Sus scrofa: one gene and its partners. The protein of the gene in region 3 interacts with the protein of the main gene of each other region in a pairwise test. Links are inferred from orthologs where the notes say so. Each region holds a gene or a part of one and is shown on either strand. Other genes may lie near its edges. The genes, in order: RITA1, EDC3, DCP1A and PNRC2.

Region 1 (4,309 bases), on a different chromosome or scaffold from region 3:
TACTGAAGAGTAGAATGTCTGAACACTGTCATCTCAGTCTTTCCACAGTTTTCGAGATGCACATAATCCATTGCTTTCTATGTGTGTGGAAACTGAAGCTCAGAGAGGTTAAGCAACTTCTCCCATATCCTCCAGCCAGTACAAGATTGGGTCAAATTTGAAAATAGGGCTGTGCCTTGGTCCATATTTACAGAGGATCTACTATATGAGGCTCAGGTGGAATAAGGTTCCCATCTGGTCCCTGCCTCCGAGGGTAGAACCCTCTCTACATATAAACGCTTCTCTGTGCCTGGCAGCCGCTACGCACAAGGCTGTGAGAAATACTGGGCTACAGCGCTTTTCCACGTTGGTGTTCACACCTACCGCCGCCCCCCTGCCGCCCCTTGCATACAGTTAACATTCAGTAGAGGAAACAGCACGGGGACTGGAACCATACAGTCCGAGATTTGAATCCTTGCTCTCCCACTCACAAGCCCTGAGATCTTGGTCACGTTCCTTTAACCCCTCTAGGCCTAGGTTTCCTCCTCTGGAAAATCAGGATGGCTACTTAGCTCACCGGGTGGGTGTAAGGATTAAATGATAAGGTTTGTAAAGCTCTTAGCGCCGGAGCCTGGCACATAATAAGCGATCAACAAAAGCAAGTCTAACTTATTATTAGTTTCCAAAAGTTTGGGGGAGCCACGGTCTCAAGCCAAGCGGTGAAGCCTTCTCCTAATTCATCCTCCCAAGAATCCCCCAAACTCTCCAAGTCCGATCTTCAGCATCCGCACTTTCCATTGGATGAGTGGGAATCAGGACCCGTTCCCCGGCTAGGAAGTAGCCAATGAGAAGCAAGAAACTGAGAGCCGGCCCGGAAGGCCCGCAGGCCCCAGCCCCTGGAGCACATGAGCCTCAGGCCGGAGGTCCTGACCCAACCCCAGGCCAGACGACCTCTCCCCACCTTCAGCCGTGCCCACTCCTCAGCTGGGGAAACTCAAGCTGCGAGGCGCTGCACGGAGCCAGCGCTTGGGCTCCGACATATATGCGTTCCTACCTTCTGGGCCCGGGCGTCATCTTGCGCCTGGATCTCAAACTCGCCGTCCTCCGAGTCGCTGCTGCGGGACTGGGAGGCCGCTCCCCGGCGCTTCCGGAGCCCCTTCTTTTTCCTCCATTGGGCCATGGCAGCTCCGGACCGCTGTGCGGCCGCCGGGCGCCTGCCGGCAGCCATGCGGGCCCCGGCGCCGAGAAACAGGAGGGAGCGGAGTCTGCCGGAATGTACCAACGGCGCGTTTGGGGCGGGGGTGGGCCTCTACGCGGCCGCTGCTGCGTTCCCTCCCCTCTCGCAGCCTCCGGATGCTTGACACACAATGCGCGCGCCCACAGTGTCGTCTCACCGGCGTGAGATACCCCTCCCCAAGGCTTTGGGGAACTCCAGGTGGCGTCCGGAACGGGGAGCCCTGACCACCTCGGGAGCGAATGGTTCCGGCCGGCTCGCCGGGGCCTGCGGTTGGAGGGCTGGTGGTTGGTTGCTGTTTGATGCGCGTGCGGACCTGACGTCGCTAGGGCTTGACTTCCCTGGTCCAGTCCGTCGGCGCTTTGCCCGGGCTGTCCGCGCGGTGCCCGGGTCGGGGGCTGGGGGTGGCCTGAGCAGCCGAGGGTCGCGGGCTCCTGAGAGTCGGAGCTGCAGATCTCGGGTGTACCGCGCGCTGCAGGTGCCAGAACGCCCCCGCAAAGGAGTCCAGACTTGGGGGGAGGGGCCATAGAATTGCGGCCGACATCAGCAATACAAAATGCTCAGGTAGGAAAGTAACTCCAGGTTGCCGGCACCTCAGACGTCAGCCGGGATTTTGATTTGGGGATCGGCGAATAACAGACTGGGCGTGATCCTTCAGTAGTACAATAGTTGAGTGCACAAGCTCTAGAATTCTATCAGGTTCAGATTCAACTCCCACTGTTTTAGCTTATAGGTGTGACTGACATTTGTGACTTCAGCTTTTGAAGCCCCAGTTTTGTCATCTGTAGAATGGACGTAATGGAAGCTATGTCACAGGACCGTTGAGAAGATTAAATGAGACAATGCTTATGAAGCACTTTGCAAGAGGTAGGCTTGGGATTATGCTGGTTATTATACCTGCCCCGTAAACATGTACAGCATATAGGGACTTCCCTTGTCTCCCCTTCCTTTGTTTTCTGGTTGGTGCCAAAATGGGCACAAGCCCAATCTCTTCTCCAATCCCCTAGCATTCTGTAAATATTTGTTGAGCACACAGTGTATGCCGGAAGTACATGTTTATTCATGAAATTTTGGCCAGTAGGACCCCCGTCCCTGTCATCCTGACAACTAAAAAAGGGTCAGATTTCCAAAATGTGCCCTGGGATTGGCAGCTCCCCTTTGAGGAGGTCTGGTTAAGGGAGAATGTGACCTTTTTGCCCTGGGGATGGGAATTTATGTGACTGCCAGTCTTTGCTGATGACAGATGGTTGCCACCATGACCGTTTTTCACAGGGAGCCCTGGAGGCAGGGCCTGGAAGGCAGAGCACAACTGCTGTCACCAGAGACCATGGGCAGCATGAAGACCCCAGTTGAGCTGGCCATCAGTGGGATGCAGACCCTCCATGTTCAGCAACGCTGCCGGGGCAACCACCGGGTCAATGTTAGGCCGTCATACGTGGATGAGACTTTGTTTGGCAGTCCTGCAGGCACCCGGCCCACACCACCAGATTTTGACCCACCCTGGATGAAGAAAGCCAACAGAACCAGAGGAGTGGGTACAGGGGCATCACAGGCCTCAGGAGCCAACAGGAGCTGTGAGACCAGCTCTTCCAGGGGTAGCATCCCAACCCCCACACCAAGGAAGAAGAACAAGTACAGGTAACAGGCCAGGGAGATGCCCTGCTGTTCACATGCTGTGTGGCCTTGGGCAAGCACTTTGAATTCTCTGAGCTGCGATTTCCTCACAGTGGAAGGTGGTACCTAGTGGGATTATTGAGAGGATTAAACGAGATGAGACTTTACAGTGCTTGGCACAATAACCTGACAATTAAAAAGCTCTCAATAAATGGTGGTGATGATGGTTGTGATGGTGCAATAACCATCCCCAGATGTCTTAGGCTGGTCTTCTGAGGCCCAGAGGGGTCAGGTGATTTGCCCAAGATCACACAGCAGTTTGCATAAGATTATTAGTGTGGTTGATTGATAAAATAACACAGATGTGATTCCACATTTCATCAAGTTATTCATAAAATGGCTCCTGCTGCATTTTCATGAACAAGTTAGGAAAACAGGGTCTAATGCTAATGGTTATTGTTGTAAATTAGAACTAGATTATTTGGATTATTTTGATTAATATTGGCCTGGGAGTTCTCTTTTGTAGGATCCATGAGAACGACGTTCTATCCCTGGCCTCACTCAGTGGGTTAAGGATCTGGCATTGCTGTTGGCTGTTGTGTAGGTCACAGACACAGCTTGGATCCCACGTTGCTATGGCTGTGGCGTAGGCCAGCGGCTGTAGCTCCGATTCGACCCCTAGCCTGGGAACTTCCATATGCCGCAGGTGCGGTCCTAAAAGGCAAAAAAAATAATAAAAGTATATAGATATTGATCTGGAGGAAGGTGTCTCATGGTAAGCCACAAGACTCTAACTTATTTATTGTCATCAGTGATTTGATCAAACACATGGAAGACTAGTAATTTAGTCAGTCAGGCTATCATAACAAAATATTGTAGACTGGGGGCTTAAACAACAGAAATTTATTTTTTCACAGTTTTAGAGGCTTGAAGTCCAAGGTCAAGAGGCCAGGAAGGTTGGTTTCTCCTGAAGCCTCTCCTTGGGTTGCAGATGGCCACCTCTTCACTGGGTCCTCAAAGAGACTTTTCTTTGTGAGGTGTATACTCCTGGTGTCTCTTCCTCTTCTTATAAGAACACAAATCGTATTGGTTTAGGACCTCGCCTTTATGGCCTCATTTAACCTCTAATTACTTATTTAAAATTCACATGAATTTTGGGAGGACTCAATTCAGTCCAAATAACTAGCGATCATATTTAGGATCCCTTCTGAGCCAGTAGACACAAAGATTAGTTAAGAATGAGAATAATGCCTATTTAAGGAGATAAAATTCAACAGAGATAAAAGCAAGACCCCCTTATTACGTCAACCTGACAAGTCTCATGGACCACAAGGCAGGGTCAGATTGACATTAATAGCACTGACACCTACAGCAAGGCTGTAGGATGCTGACAAGTAGAGGTGCCTAAGTTAGAAGGTGCCTAAGAAGTGGAGATGCTATTGAGCAAACACTTTGGTACCAGACAGACATAGGTATCAACCA
Region 2 (3,561 bases), on a different chromosome or scaffold from region 3:
CTCCTCAACACAAGGCCAGCACCCCAGGGCCACTGTGACTTACTGGAGCAAGCAGAGTCTTCTGGGCCAGGGTTCTTCTAGCTCTTTTTCACTGCACCCAATCAGGGGACCTACCTGCATTAACCGGAAGCCAGGGCTGGGTTAACGACTGCTTACCAAAATGCCTGTAATCTTGCACTGCTCCTCAGTTTACAGCCCTGCTTCTATAAAGAGAGGGCCCCATGTGGGGAGCTTCTTGGCCCTGAGAGTAAGCAGAGGCTCAGGAAGGATATACAGCACGGGATTCACAGTCGCTGACCTTCCACTGCTAGAGACAATTCAGCATTTGAAGGAGGATGGGAGGAAAGGAGGGACCAGCCCTCTGCCCTGCCTCATCTGCTCCTGGCTATGCTCCTATAAGAAAGTGAAAGTAGCCTGAAACCCATGGTGCCAGGGCCTACCCTGTGTCCACAATCCTTGCCAAGCCCTTTTACTCACCCCCTTAACCAGAGTGAGTGGGCACAGAGCAGAAGCCTGAAGCCCTGAAAGAGGCTTTAAAGCACAAGCCTTTTGCAAGAGCCTCTCCCAGAAACTTCGGGGCATGGCTCCTGTCCTGCCAGCCTCCAGGGCCTAGGCCTGTGAATGTCCACGGGCTCAGTGCATAGGATCTGAGCAGCACAATGTTCTTCAGGCTGAGCACCCCCCAGCTAGCTCATCTAGAACTAGCCTCATTTTGGCATCTTTGAGACAGGGCGCTGGCCCTGAGCCTACTCATCTAGAAAGGACAAAGAGGGTTCAAGGCCCAGACACTGTAAAAGCTGGGGTGGAGCCCAAAGGGGAGAGACATGCACCCTGCTCTGGGATCACAGCTGCAGAGGACCACTGCAGAGGAAGGGCAGAGGGGGTAGAAGAGAAGACGGGTATGTGTGTGCAGGCAGGGAGCGGAGGGGAGTGGTGGCCTAGGACAGAAGCACCAGGGAGCCTCTTCTGGCTCAGCACCAGGCTCCCCCTGGGGCCTCCCCAATACTAAACATTAAAGCTGCACCCTGAGGGGTCTGGCCCCAGACTAGGCAAAGGCTCAGCCCCCAGCTAGAGAGTATGGGTTTGGGGCGGGGGGCACTGCTGGCAAGATGGGCACTGTGGTTCTCTAGTAACATAACCTTATACTACCTGTACTGAAGACAACAGAAAAACAGTAAAAAATTCCAATATAGTAAAACAATTCTGATGCCACCCCCACTTCTCTGCCTCTCAGAGTGATGGAGTGGGAAGGAGGAAGGAATCTTAGAAAAAAAAAATAACAAAAAACAAAACTCCAGCATAAAACTTAGATCAGCTCAGGAGAAAGGGTCAAAAGCCCCCAAATCAACTTATGGTGGGGCTCAGAGAAGACCTCAAAGCCCTCAGATTACATGGAGGACGCAAGTCTGCCCTCTAGTGGGCAACTGCAGCACAGCCAGTTCTACATGATCGGTAAGGGCTGCTTGGGGGGAGGAAGCAGGGGAGACAAAGCCACAAGCTCTGAAACAGAGCAAGCACAGGCCCCTAAACAGAACTGCCCCACCCCATGAGGCGCTCGTCCAGGTCCAGTGGCTGTAAACCTGAAACACAGTCTGTGAGCTGCCTATGTCTGTAAACAAAGCCCCATCTGACCACACGGGGGCTGAGTGTATGGATCCCTGGACCCACCATCCACTCAGCCTGCCACCTGCCCCGCACACCCAGTGGGGAGGCCTTCCCTGGCTAAGGGCAGGTGACAGGTCAGTTTTAAATACCATCTGTTCTCTCAAAGAAACAAATGCAAACGAAAAAATTGAACAAGGTCCATGAAGTTTCACATCCTTAAGGCGTTCGTTGTCAAGTTCAGTATCAGGAGCAGCGGGGGGACCGCAAGGTCCAGCCTGCCTAGAGCCCTTCTAGGCGGAGTGCAGTGGGATGACAAACTTGCAGCCAAAGGGCGAGTGGTAGTTGATGCCCACCTCCTGGAACACCTGCTGGGGAATGCCGATGTCGCACAGATAGACGCGGCCGGCATGCTCCCCTAAAGGCAGAGGCAGGCCCAGAGCCAGCGACCACTTGGCATCGATGCCCTGTTCAACTTCATGCACAGGAGGGTCTATGCTGAGTACTGGCGCTCGGTTCTGGTTGGCCCAGGCCACAGCTGCCTTGTACCAGGGCTGATCCCGCAGGAAGGCATTCTCGGGGCAATCCAGGCAGTTGATCACCAGGTCCACAGGGCTAGTGGGCAGATCTGCAGGTGGAAAGAGTGCCATCTGAAAACCCCTACGAATCAGAGAGCAGCCCAGGCAGGGGACCAGAACCAAGGTGGCCCCAAGAGTGATGCCACTCCACCACTCTGATGACGCTGCAGGGGCCACCTTTTACTGATTCCACCACTACCATGCTGCCTCCGCCACATCATTTCCCTCTCCAGTTACCCCAACAGCCTTCACACCGCTCACTGTAACAATCTTCTCTCAAATAACAGCTAAAATGATCATCTGCAACCTGAGCTGGATTATCTCTCTTCTTATCCTTCCATTGACTCTCCATCTCACCCAGAGTAACAGGTCAAATCCTTACAATAATCTATGATTAGACCCTAAATGTTTAAGTCTGCTACCTTTCACCCAACCCGCCAACAATCTCTATCTCCCTCCACTCCCTTCTTCCTTCCTTTCTTTTTACAGCCGCCCTGAGGCATATGGAAGTCCTTGGGCAGGGTGGAATCAGAGCTACAGCTGCTGGCCTACGCCACAGCCACACCAATGCAGGATCCGAGCTGAGCTGCAACCTACACCACAGCTCATGGCAACGCTGGATCCTTAACCCACTGAGCAAGGCCAGGGATCGAACCTGTGTCCTCATGGATACTACTGGGATTTGTTTCTGCTGAGCCACGACAGGAACTCCTCCCTGCTTTATTTGTCTCCATTAACACTTACTACCATCTGACCGGATAGAAATGTTACTTGTGGCCCATCCTAACCAGAATGTAAGCTCCATGGAAACACAGATTTAAGAGGAAAAAAAAAAAAAAATCCAAAAGAACAAAACCTGCTGCCAATATCCCCAAGTGTCAGGAACGGTGCCCATCTTGTAAATATTTGTGAAATGAATAAATGGGTCCCAACCTCTCCATCTGAGTGGAGAACGAGGAAGGTGAAGGGATGGGAAGTAGGCCGGTTGGCACCAAAATTATTTATCTCAGACACTAACTCCACTCACAGGGAAAGAACACTATGCTTGTGGTGCTTTTCCACCTGCCGCCACTGGGTGGCACTGCCAGACCATCAAACTACGGAGGAGGGAGAGGGCCTCGGCCTGGCCCTGTCCAAGTGCTCACCTTTGAGGCTAGATACTTGTTGGCCTTGGGTCTTGCTGAAGAGAGACAGCTCGTTGGTGATGGATTCCAGCATCTTCATGAAGTTGGGAAGGAAGAGGATGACCTGGACATCATGGTTAGCTAGATGCCTTCCACAGCTGATACCCTGAGCCCCCTTCACATGGGGCCCACATAGCAGGGCCACTGTAGGCCTCTGGTGAATATTTTTGGGATTCAATCTGGAACAGAAAGTAAAG
Region 3 (4,218 bases):
TTTGCAGTATATACAAATATCAAATTGTTGGACTGTACACCTGAAGCTAATATAATATTATGTCATTTGTACCTTAATTTTCTTTTCTTTTCTTTTTTTTCTTTTTTTTTTTTTTTTTGCTTTTTAGGGCCACATCTGCAGCATATGGACGTTCCCAGGCTAGGGGTCAAATCGGAGATGCAGTTGTTAGCCATAGCAATGGAGGATCCGAGCCTTGTCTGTGACCTATACCACAGCTCACAGCAATGCTGGATCCTTATCCATGAGCAGGGCCATGGATCAAACCCTCATCCTCATGGATACTGGTTGGGTTCATTATCACTGAGCCACAATGAGAACTCCTGTACCTTAATTTTCTTTCTTTCTTTCTTTCCTTTTTTTTTTTTTTTTTTTTTTTTTTATCTTTTTTAAGGCCATGACTGTGACATATGGAGGTTCCCAGGCTAGGGGTCACTTAATTTTCTTTTAAAAAAAAAAAAAGCTTTTATTAACAGTGACAAATATCATATAGTATCACTTATATGTGAAATCTAAAAAAAATAATACAGGAATTCCCATCATGGTGCAGTGGAAATGAATCCTACTAGGAACCATGAAGTTGCAGATTCAATCCCTGGCCTCACTCAGTGGATTAAGGATCCGGCATTGCCATGAGCTGTGATGTAGGTCACAGACTTGGCTCTGATTCCACGTTGCTGTGGCTGTGGTGTAGGCTGGCAGTTGTAGCTCTGATTCAACCCCTAGCCTGGGAACCTCCATATGCTGCGGGTGTGGCCCTAAAAAGCAAAAATTAATAAAAATTAAAAAATTTTTAAATAATACAAATGAACTTATTTGCAGAACAGAAACAGACCCACAGACTTTGAAAATAAACTTACAGTTATCAAAGGGGACAGGTGGGGTGAGTTGGGATGTGCTGGGGGTTTGGAATTGACATATGCACACTGTGGTATATTAAACAGCTGGCCAACAGAGACCTGCTATATAGCACAGTGAACTCTACCCAATATTCTGTGATAATCTATATGGGAAAAGAATCTGAAAAGAATGGATGTATGTATATGTATAACTGTATTGTTTTGTTGTATAGCAGAAATTTTCAAAACATTGTAGATCAACTACTATAAAACTTTTAAAAATGAAAAGGTGGCTTTCTAAATTAATGTATATTGGTAGTGTGAGTATATGTTAATGTGTATTGATGCAATTCAAATCATAGTTATAGAAAAAGAATTTTTTTTTTTGGTCTTTTTTTTTTTTTTTTAGGGCCACACCCATGGCATATGGAAGTTTCCAGGCTAGGGGTTGAATTGGAGTTGCAGCTGCCAACCTACACTGCAGCTTATGGCAACGCTGAATCCGTAACCCACTGAGCAAGACCAGGGATGGAACCCAAATCCTCATAGACCTTAGTCACGTTCTTAACCCACTGAGCAACAGCAGGAACTCAAAGGATTTTTAAAGTTTCTTCTGCTAGCATTTGTATTTTCTGTATTGTCATTCTTTTAGAATGTAATTTTTACCTTGTTCGATTATTTATGCTTGATTCTTTTTTGTGTTTTAGTCCTCAAGAGTAATTGAAACTTGTTTACTTTACTTTCTACAGAATATTTTGTGTTATTTCAACTAATGAGGCATTGAGTATGTAGTGGAAGGATACTGGCTTAGAGTGAGAAGACATGAGTTCTGGTTCTAGTTATAAGACTATTTTTCTCTAATTTATTAATGTCAGTCTTTCCATGAGCCTCGGTTTTCTATCCATAAAAGTACATAATGGAACTTCTGACCCAAACAAAATGGCATAAATTTGTCTTTCCTTCTCCCCTATTAAATACAATTCTAAAAATCAGAAGTAACAAAAGGACAATCAGGAAAATTCTAAAAGGTAGAAAGAAGAAGATCGGGTTCGGGACCCAGAACTGACAGAACAACCCAACAGCAGCTTGTCTTACAAGCCTTCAACAGAAGAAGGGGACCCAGGCATAGTGTTTCTTGACCTCCAACATAGCAAAGGAAGGTGCCTCATACAGGCTTGTTCCTCTCCTAGATCGAATGGGAGCCCTGCCAGCAGTACCAGGTGAGCCCAACAAGACTGCACGAAGGATTTAAACCTTACTGACAATAAATAGCCACTGAGGTAATATTTTCCCTCCTTTTCATGAGAAGGAGGTGGGTGTAGGGAAGGAGCCACATTACAACCACCTGGCCTAGGAAGCAGTCTTTATCTCCCTTCACCAGTGAAGGTACTCCAGGTGGCCTAGCCATTGAAAACTCCTCCCATCCTTTCAAGCAACACTGGCTAAGGGCCTACTAAATTCCCACCTCAAGAAATTAGAAAAAGAAGAAAAAAATAAACTAACTCAAAGCATGCAGAAGTAAGGAAAGAACAAAGAGTAGAGCAGAAATCAATGACATTAAGACGATGAAAACAAAGAAAAATGAATGAGACAAAAAGTTGATTATTTGAAAAAGTCAATAAAGTTGATAAACCTTTAATAAAGACTAATAAAAGTAAAAAGATGACATAGATTATCAATATCAGGAGTGGAATAGTGGATGTAGTTACCTGAAAAGTAGATTTGCCTCTTAGTTTGTGTCAAGCCAAAAGACATAACCAAGCTAAAGATCATGAGAAGGAAGGGTTTATTATTACTTGCAGCAAGTATAGGGAACATGGGATCTTTCACAAAACAGGGTCTCCCCAAGCAGCAAAGATGAGGGAGTTTCAAGTTAAGCATACATGCGTATTCATTAAGGAGCTTGGGTGGTCCACAGAATCCAAGTGTTAGTTGATTGAAGTTATAAGGGCCAGAAAATGTCAACATACTCCTCCCTTAGACTCCAGCTGATCTGGTGGTTGAACACTTCAGGCTAGTCTTTACCGTTGAAATAGAACTGGGAGCCTTTACAACCGCTACATTATCTTTGCTATCGTTACTTCTCCTACCTGATAATAATTTGTTTCTGCATTCTTTTGTTCCTTTAAGATCATTAATTACTGGGACCTGTTCAAGGGTAAGCATTGTGACCAGGCTTAGATCACAAAATGTCGTAGGCCAAAAATTGTTTCTCTTCTGTCAAGAAAGCCATGCCTGTTTCTCTTTCTCCAGGGAGCCCCTACCATATCTGCCTCCAATATCATCCACACATCCTCTGTAATAGGAGAATGCTATCAATAACTTTACACTCATACACGTGACCATTTAGAAGAAATGGACCAATTCCTTGAAGACAACAAACTACAAAACCAAGATAAAATAGATAACATAAATAAATAGTCCTATTGCCATGAAATAAATTGAATTCCTAATTTTAAAGTTTCCGAAAAAGAAATCCCCAGGCCCAGATGATTTTACTGGAGAATTCAAAGATTCTTTAATGCTAATTTTACAGTTTCTTCCAGAAAACAGAAAAGGGGAAACACTTCTCAACTTATTCTGTAAGACCAACGTTTACTTTAATACTCAAAACAAGAAAGTACAAAAAAGAAAACTACAAACCAGTATCTCTAATGAACTTTAAAAAAAAATCCTTAACCAGATAATAGCAAAGCCAACAATATATAGAAAAGAAATATAAATTATGAACAAATGGGCTTTATTCCAGCTCTGCAAAGGTGGTTCAGTATTAAAAATCAGTCAGTATATCTACCACATTATAAAGGAAAGGGTGAATGTTTTCCCTCTAATATTGAAAATAAAGCAAGGAAATCTATTCTCATTACTGCTATTCAACATAGCACTGAAAGTTCTAGCCAGTGTAATAAGGGGAAAAGAGAATAGGCCTACAGATTGGAAAAGAAGAAATAAAACTGTCTCTGTCCACAGATGACATGAATGTCTCTGTACAAACTCCTACAACTAATAAGTGAGTTTGGAAAGGTCTGGAGATACAAGATCAACACACAAAAATAAATCACACTTATACATACTTATAATGAACCTGTGGAAACCCCAAGTTAAAGGTAGTAACCGTTTATAAATTGTACAGGGAAAATTAAATACTTAGGTGTAAACATAACAAAACATGTACAGGTGTACTGAAAATTACAAAATACTGAATTTTAAAAAAATCAGAACCTAAATAAATGGAGAGATATACTACATTTGTGCATCAAAAGATTCAATGGGAGTTCCCGTCGTGGCGCAGTGGAAATGAATCTGACTAGGAACCATGAGATTGCAGGTTTGATCCCTAGCCTCACTCAATGGGTTAAGG
Region 4 (4,007 bases), on a different chromosome or scaffold from region 3:
AGGATGCAGGTTGGATCCCCAGCTGGATACAGTGGGTTAATGGATCTGGTTAAAGGCTTGGATCTGACCCCATGAGGTGGCAAAACCAACCAACAAACCAAAAAACTCCTATGTTCATAGAAACTGTTGTTCTCTTTTAAAATACGAGCCTTGGGTTGCTTATCCATTTATTCCCAAGAAGTTGTCCTTTTCCTCTTTGCTGCACCTCACTGGCAAACGAACTTAACTCTTTTCTCCTCCCTTTATTTACACACTGCAGAAAGGGTTATAAGTAAGGGAACTCTCCTCTCAACAAACTCTTCTTGGGGCACTTACAACGTACTCTGTGTTCAGAGAAACGAAACCCTGCTTTGCCCCCTGCCCAACCCCACCCGGAGGATGTGTGCGCGGGAACTCGCGGACAAGTAGCTACCACATAGTGTGATTGAAGTTCAAGACCAGTCAGACACAAAGGAGGAACTGATTAACTTGACCCGCACGTGCGTCGGAAACGCCTTCACAGAAGAGGTAGCTTCTTAGAATTTCGAGGCTGGGGGCCAGGGGGGCGGGAAGGAACCGCAAGCTGGGGCGCTGGCGTGACCGAGAAACAGAGAGGGAGGAGTGTCTGGACTAAGTGGCCAGGGGCCAGCCTCGGAAAGCAACTTTGATCAGTATCTTCCATGTGTAAGAGATCGGTTACTCGGCTCAGTGAACTTAACTCGGGAACTCAACGCCCCCTCCAGTGACTCCCCATGGCCCGGAACCCACTTGGTTCCGAGTGCCACGGGACCCACTGGCCGGACAGCGCGGGAGGAAGCCGCTGTTCCAGTGGGCGGCCGACGCCCTTCTCCCCGGAGCCGCTTGCGCGCGGCTCTCGGACCCTGGAATCGGCGCGAGGGGCTGGTGCTGGCCGCGACTTGGGGTGTCGGACGGGGCCTGGTGGGCTTCTCCCGGAAGGGGCTGGTGTCACTCGGGGGCCCGAGAAAGGGCGGCAGCCGGGGCCCGCAGCGGTCTTTCCCGACATGCTCTTCTCGAGGAGTATTTGAAACCCTCGGCCACAGCCACCTCCCCTCCCTCGGCCCCGTCGGGCCCCAGCAACAGGCGGCGGCCCGCGTGTCATTGGCCGGGCCGCGCGAAAGCGTGTTTTGATTGGCCGCCGCGCTTCCCGGCCCAGCTTCTGCGCTCACTGTCGCCTCCATTTTGTCGGTAGAGGCAGAAGGAGGAGGTCGGCCGGGACGTTAAGGTGGCCTGCAGCAGGCTCGTCGGTGCCCGTTGGCTTCGCTCGTTCCGTGCCTCGTCTCTCCCTGGAAGGGGAGGGGGGCTTCGACGCCGAGCAGGATCCGCCGCTGTCGTAGTCCCGAGCTTGAAGTCGGTGAGTGGCGGGCGCGGCCATGTTGGCGGCCGCGCTCCCCATTGTTGGGGGTAGGAAGTCAGATCCAGTGCCCGGCGGGCGCAGGCGGCGGGGAAGACCGGGTTCCCCGGCCGGGCCCGAGCAACGCGGAGCGGCTCGGAAACCCAGCCACATCGGAAGAGCCGAACTTTCCAGGCTCTTGTTGGGAATGACTCACGATCCGGGAATTCGTAGTTTCTTTAGGGCTGTTAAAATAGTCTGGAAGGGCCTCTCGCTCTTTCAAAAAAAAGAGGGCTTATTATTTATATGGTGACTTGGTTTCTTGGAATAGCAAACGAAATCTTGAATGTTTAATGTTCCTGATAGGCATTTTCATACATATTAGATGGGACAGTGACTTCAGTTATGGCTTGTGGAACTTCTTTTAAAATGGGGAGGAGTCAAGAGTTCAAAACTAAAGGAAACGCTGCATCACGTAAACCTGTTTGGAGAGGAGGCTTTGTGGAAACGGATGTGTAATGTGTGCAAAGATTGGAAAGTAATGGTGAGACTTTAAAAACATAGCTTCTTTAGGAAACACAGTTTAAGCCCATTTCTTGGCATGGCTGTGAAAGTTAATGCTTCTGTGGTTTGACTGGTTTTGGTCACAGAATCCGTGTGAGAATCTGAAAAGTTCCTAGAAAAAAGATACAACTTATTGAGAGGTCTGGCGGACACCCTTCCCCAATTCCTTATGAGTTCCTGGATCTCAAGGCTTAGAAGAGTTCTTAGATGATGACAGTTCTAAGGTCAAAGCCATCTTTAGAGACATTATTTTCTGCCTTTTAATTAGGAAGTAGCCATTTAACTATTTCTGTAGCAAATAATAAATGATCGCTTTCTCCTGTTTAACACGTGAAATAATTTAGAAATCTTTGCTTTTTAGCTAGGACTTCTCTCAAGGTTGTGTGCTGAGGAGACTCAGATGTTGGCCTCAGTTCCTAGGCTGAACTCAGCAGATCGGCCCATGAAAACTTCTGTATTGAGACAAAGGAAAGGATCTGTCAGAAAGCAACATCTCTTATCCTGGGCTTGGCGGCAAGGAAGAGGACAGGTGGTGGAAATCCTGCAATCTGAAAAGCAGACTGAAAGGTATCCAAGACTTCATGTTGAAATGGGGCAGACATTTTTATGGACTCATCCTAAACTGTTTAAGTAGAGGATCATACCAATTTGTAAGTTCATTTTTCTCAAGAAGTAACAAAGGCTGTGCATATGAAGTGTGGGCATTGTAATTAAGTAAAAAGCAGCTGAATAGCACATCTTTGAGTCTTCACCAAGGTTTCTGGGGTTACAAGTTGTGACTACTGAAGTTTTTTTAAAGTTTTAAACTATCTTAAGTGGAATTTTACTTAGCATTTTGTTTCCATTTGCTTACAGGTGACAAAGAAGCTGAAGATGGGTGGTGGAGAGAGGTATAACATTCCAGCCCCTCAATCTAGAAATGTTAGTAAGAACCAACAACAGCTTAATAGACAGAAGACCAAGGATCAGAATTCCCAGATGAAGATTGTTCATAAGAAAAAGGAAAGAGGACATACTTACAATTCATCAGCAGCTGCATGGCAAGCCATGCAAAATGGGGGGAAGAACAAAAATTTTCCAAATAATCAAAATTGGAACTCTAGCTTATCAAGTCCCACCTTACTTTTTAAGTCTCAAACTAATCAGAACTATGCTGGAGCCAAATTTAGTGAGCCACCGTCACCAAGTGTTCTTCCTAAACCACCAAGCCACTGGGTTCCTGTTTCCTTCAATCCTTCCGATAAAGAAATAATGACATTTCAACTAAAAACCTTACTTAAAGTACAGGTATGAGATAAAGTACTAATGTTCAAAGCTAGTCAATATTTAGGGATAATTGGCAATTGTTTCAGACTAAATACACAAGGGAATTAATCTGTAAAATAGCTTGCGTAGAAAATATAATTAGACTTCATCTTTTATGTGTTATGTGCATTGATGTAATGATAGAATCAGTGCAACTTAACTAAGATTTGTACTTGATTATCAATACTAAATTAAGTGTTTTCAATGGATTAACCATTTAAATGAAACCAAGTGCAGATTTGGGGAGTGATAAAGGAATCAACCTTTTCTATTGCTTGTTGGGAAAATTAAGATTATCATTCATGGATCAGTAGGTTTACTTGTTGAAAGCTGGTGAATCTGATGATAAGCATCAAATTAAAACATACAGGGGTTGAAAACTAGTTGAATATTGAGTTCAATGTTCTAGAAACATCCAGACCAGTTACATATCAACAACCTGATGCACTGCCAAAAAAATGTGAACTTTTTAAAAAGATTATAGTTGTTTTAGTTAACTATATGGTGTACAGGGCACTAGGGGCTATTAGAATGAAATAGTATACCCCACTGGCCTTGTATATGACATGCAGTGGATAGATGTCTGCCAACAAAGGCACCGAAATCATTTTTTATGGAAATAGTATTTGGTGTTAACCAAGTAGCTTTCAAAATGCATTTTTGTATTATGGCACTGCACAAGCTATTCTGACAGTGATCTGGCTTCACACCATCCTTGCAAAGCTTGTTTAAAGTGGGGAGCTGTATAATGTGAAAGTTTTAAGTAGCTAGGAAAGAGCCATGTAAATATATGTAATAAACTTGTAGC

What was found.
Region 1: the proteins of DCP1A (region 3) and RITA1 interact in binary tests that used the Homo sapiens proteins (3 or more experiments, as listed by UniProt). The two-hybrid records come from large-scale screens. The link is inferred for Sus scrofa from reciprocal best matches to the Homo sapiens genes DCP1A and RITA1.
Region 2: the proteins of DCP1A (region 3) and EDC3 interact in binary tests that used the Homo sapiens proteins (3 or more experiments, as listed by UniProt). The two-hybrid records come from large-scale screens. The link is inferred for Sus scrofa from reciprocal best matches to the Homo sapiens genes DCP1A and EDC3.
Region 4: the proteins of DCP1A (region 3) and PNRC2 interact in binary tests that used the Homo sapiens proteins (3 or more experiments, as listed by UniProt). The link is inferred for Sus scrofa from reciprocal best matches to the Homo sapiens genes DCP1A and PNRC2.

The regions. Positions count from the first base shown.
Region 1 is NC_010456.5:38,666,578-38,670,886, forward strand, and holds the start of RITA1 (RBPJ-interacting and tubulin-associated protein 1), read left to right. Parts: upstream 1-1,508; 5' UTR 1,509-1,777; intron 1,778-1,939; 5' UTR 1,940-2,080; intron 2,081-2,485; 5' UTR 2,486-2,540; coding exon 2,541-2,851; intron 2,852-4,309. Other genes in the region: ATP-dependent RNA helicase DDX54, read right to left, coding at 1,034-1,207. UniProt on the Homo sapiens protein: Tubulin-binding protein that acts as a negative regulator of Notch signaling pathway.
Region 2 is NC_010449.5:58,891,137-58,894,697, reverse strand, and holds part of EDC3 (enhancer of mRNA-decapping protein 3), read right to left. Parts: intron 3,544-3,561; coding exon 3,326-3,543; intron 2,231-3,325; coding exon 1,896-2,230; 3' UTR 1-1,895. UniProt on the Homo sapiens protein: Binds single-stranded RNA. Involved in the process of mRNA degradation and in the positive regulation of mRNA decapping. May play a role in spermiogenesis and oogenesis.
Region 3 is NC_010455.5:35,423,043-35,427,260, reverse strand, and holds the start of DCP1A (mRNA-decapping enzyme 1A), read left to right. Parts: upstream 1-1,415; 5' UTR 1,416-2,052; coding exon 2,053-2,077; intron 2,078-4,218. UniProt on the Homo sapiens protein: Necessary for the degradation of mRNAs, both in normal mRNA turnover and in nonsense-mediated mRNA decay. Removes the 7-methyl guanine cap structure from mRNA molecules, yielding a 5'-phosphorylated mRNA fragment and 7m-GDP.
Region 4 is NC_010448.4:81,721,728-81,725,734, forward strand, and holds the start of PNRC2 (proline-rich nuclear receptor coactivator 2), read left to right. Parts: upstream 1-1,198; 5' UTR 1,199-1,351; intron 1,352-2,255; 5' UTR 2,256-2,461; intron 2,462-2,749; 5' UTR 2,750-2,767; coding exon 2,768-3,187; 3' UTR 3,188-4,007. UniProt on the Homo sapiens protein: Involved in nonsense-mediated mRNA decay (NMD) by acting as a bridge between the mRNA decapping complex and the NMD machinery. May act by targeting the NMD machinery to the P-body and recruiting the decapping machinery to aberrant mRNAs.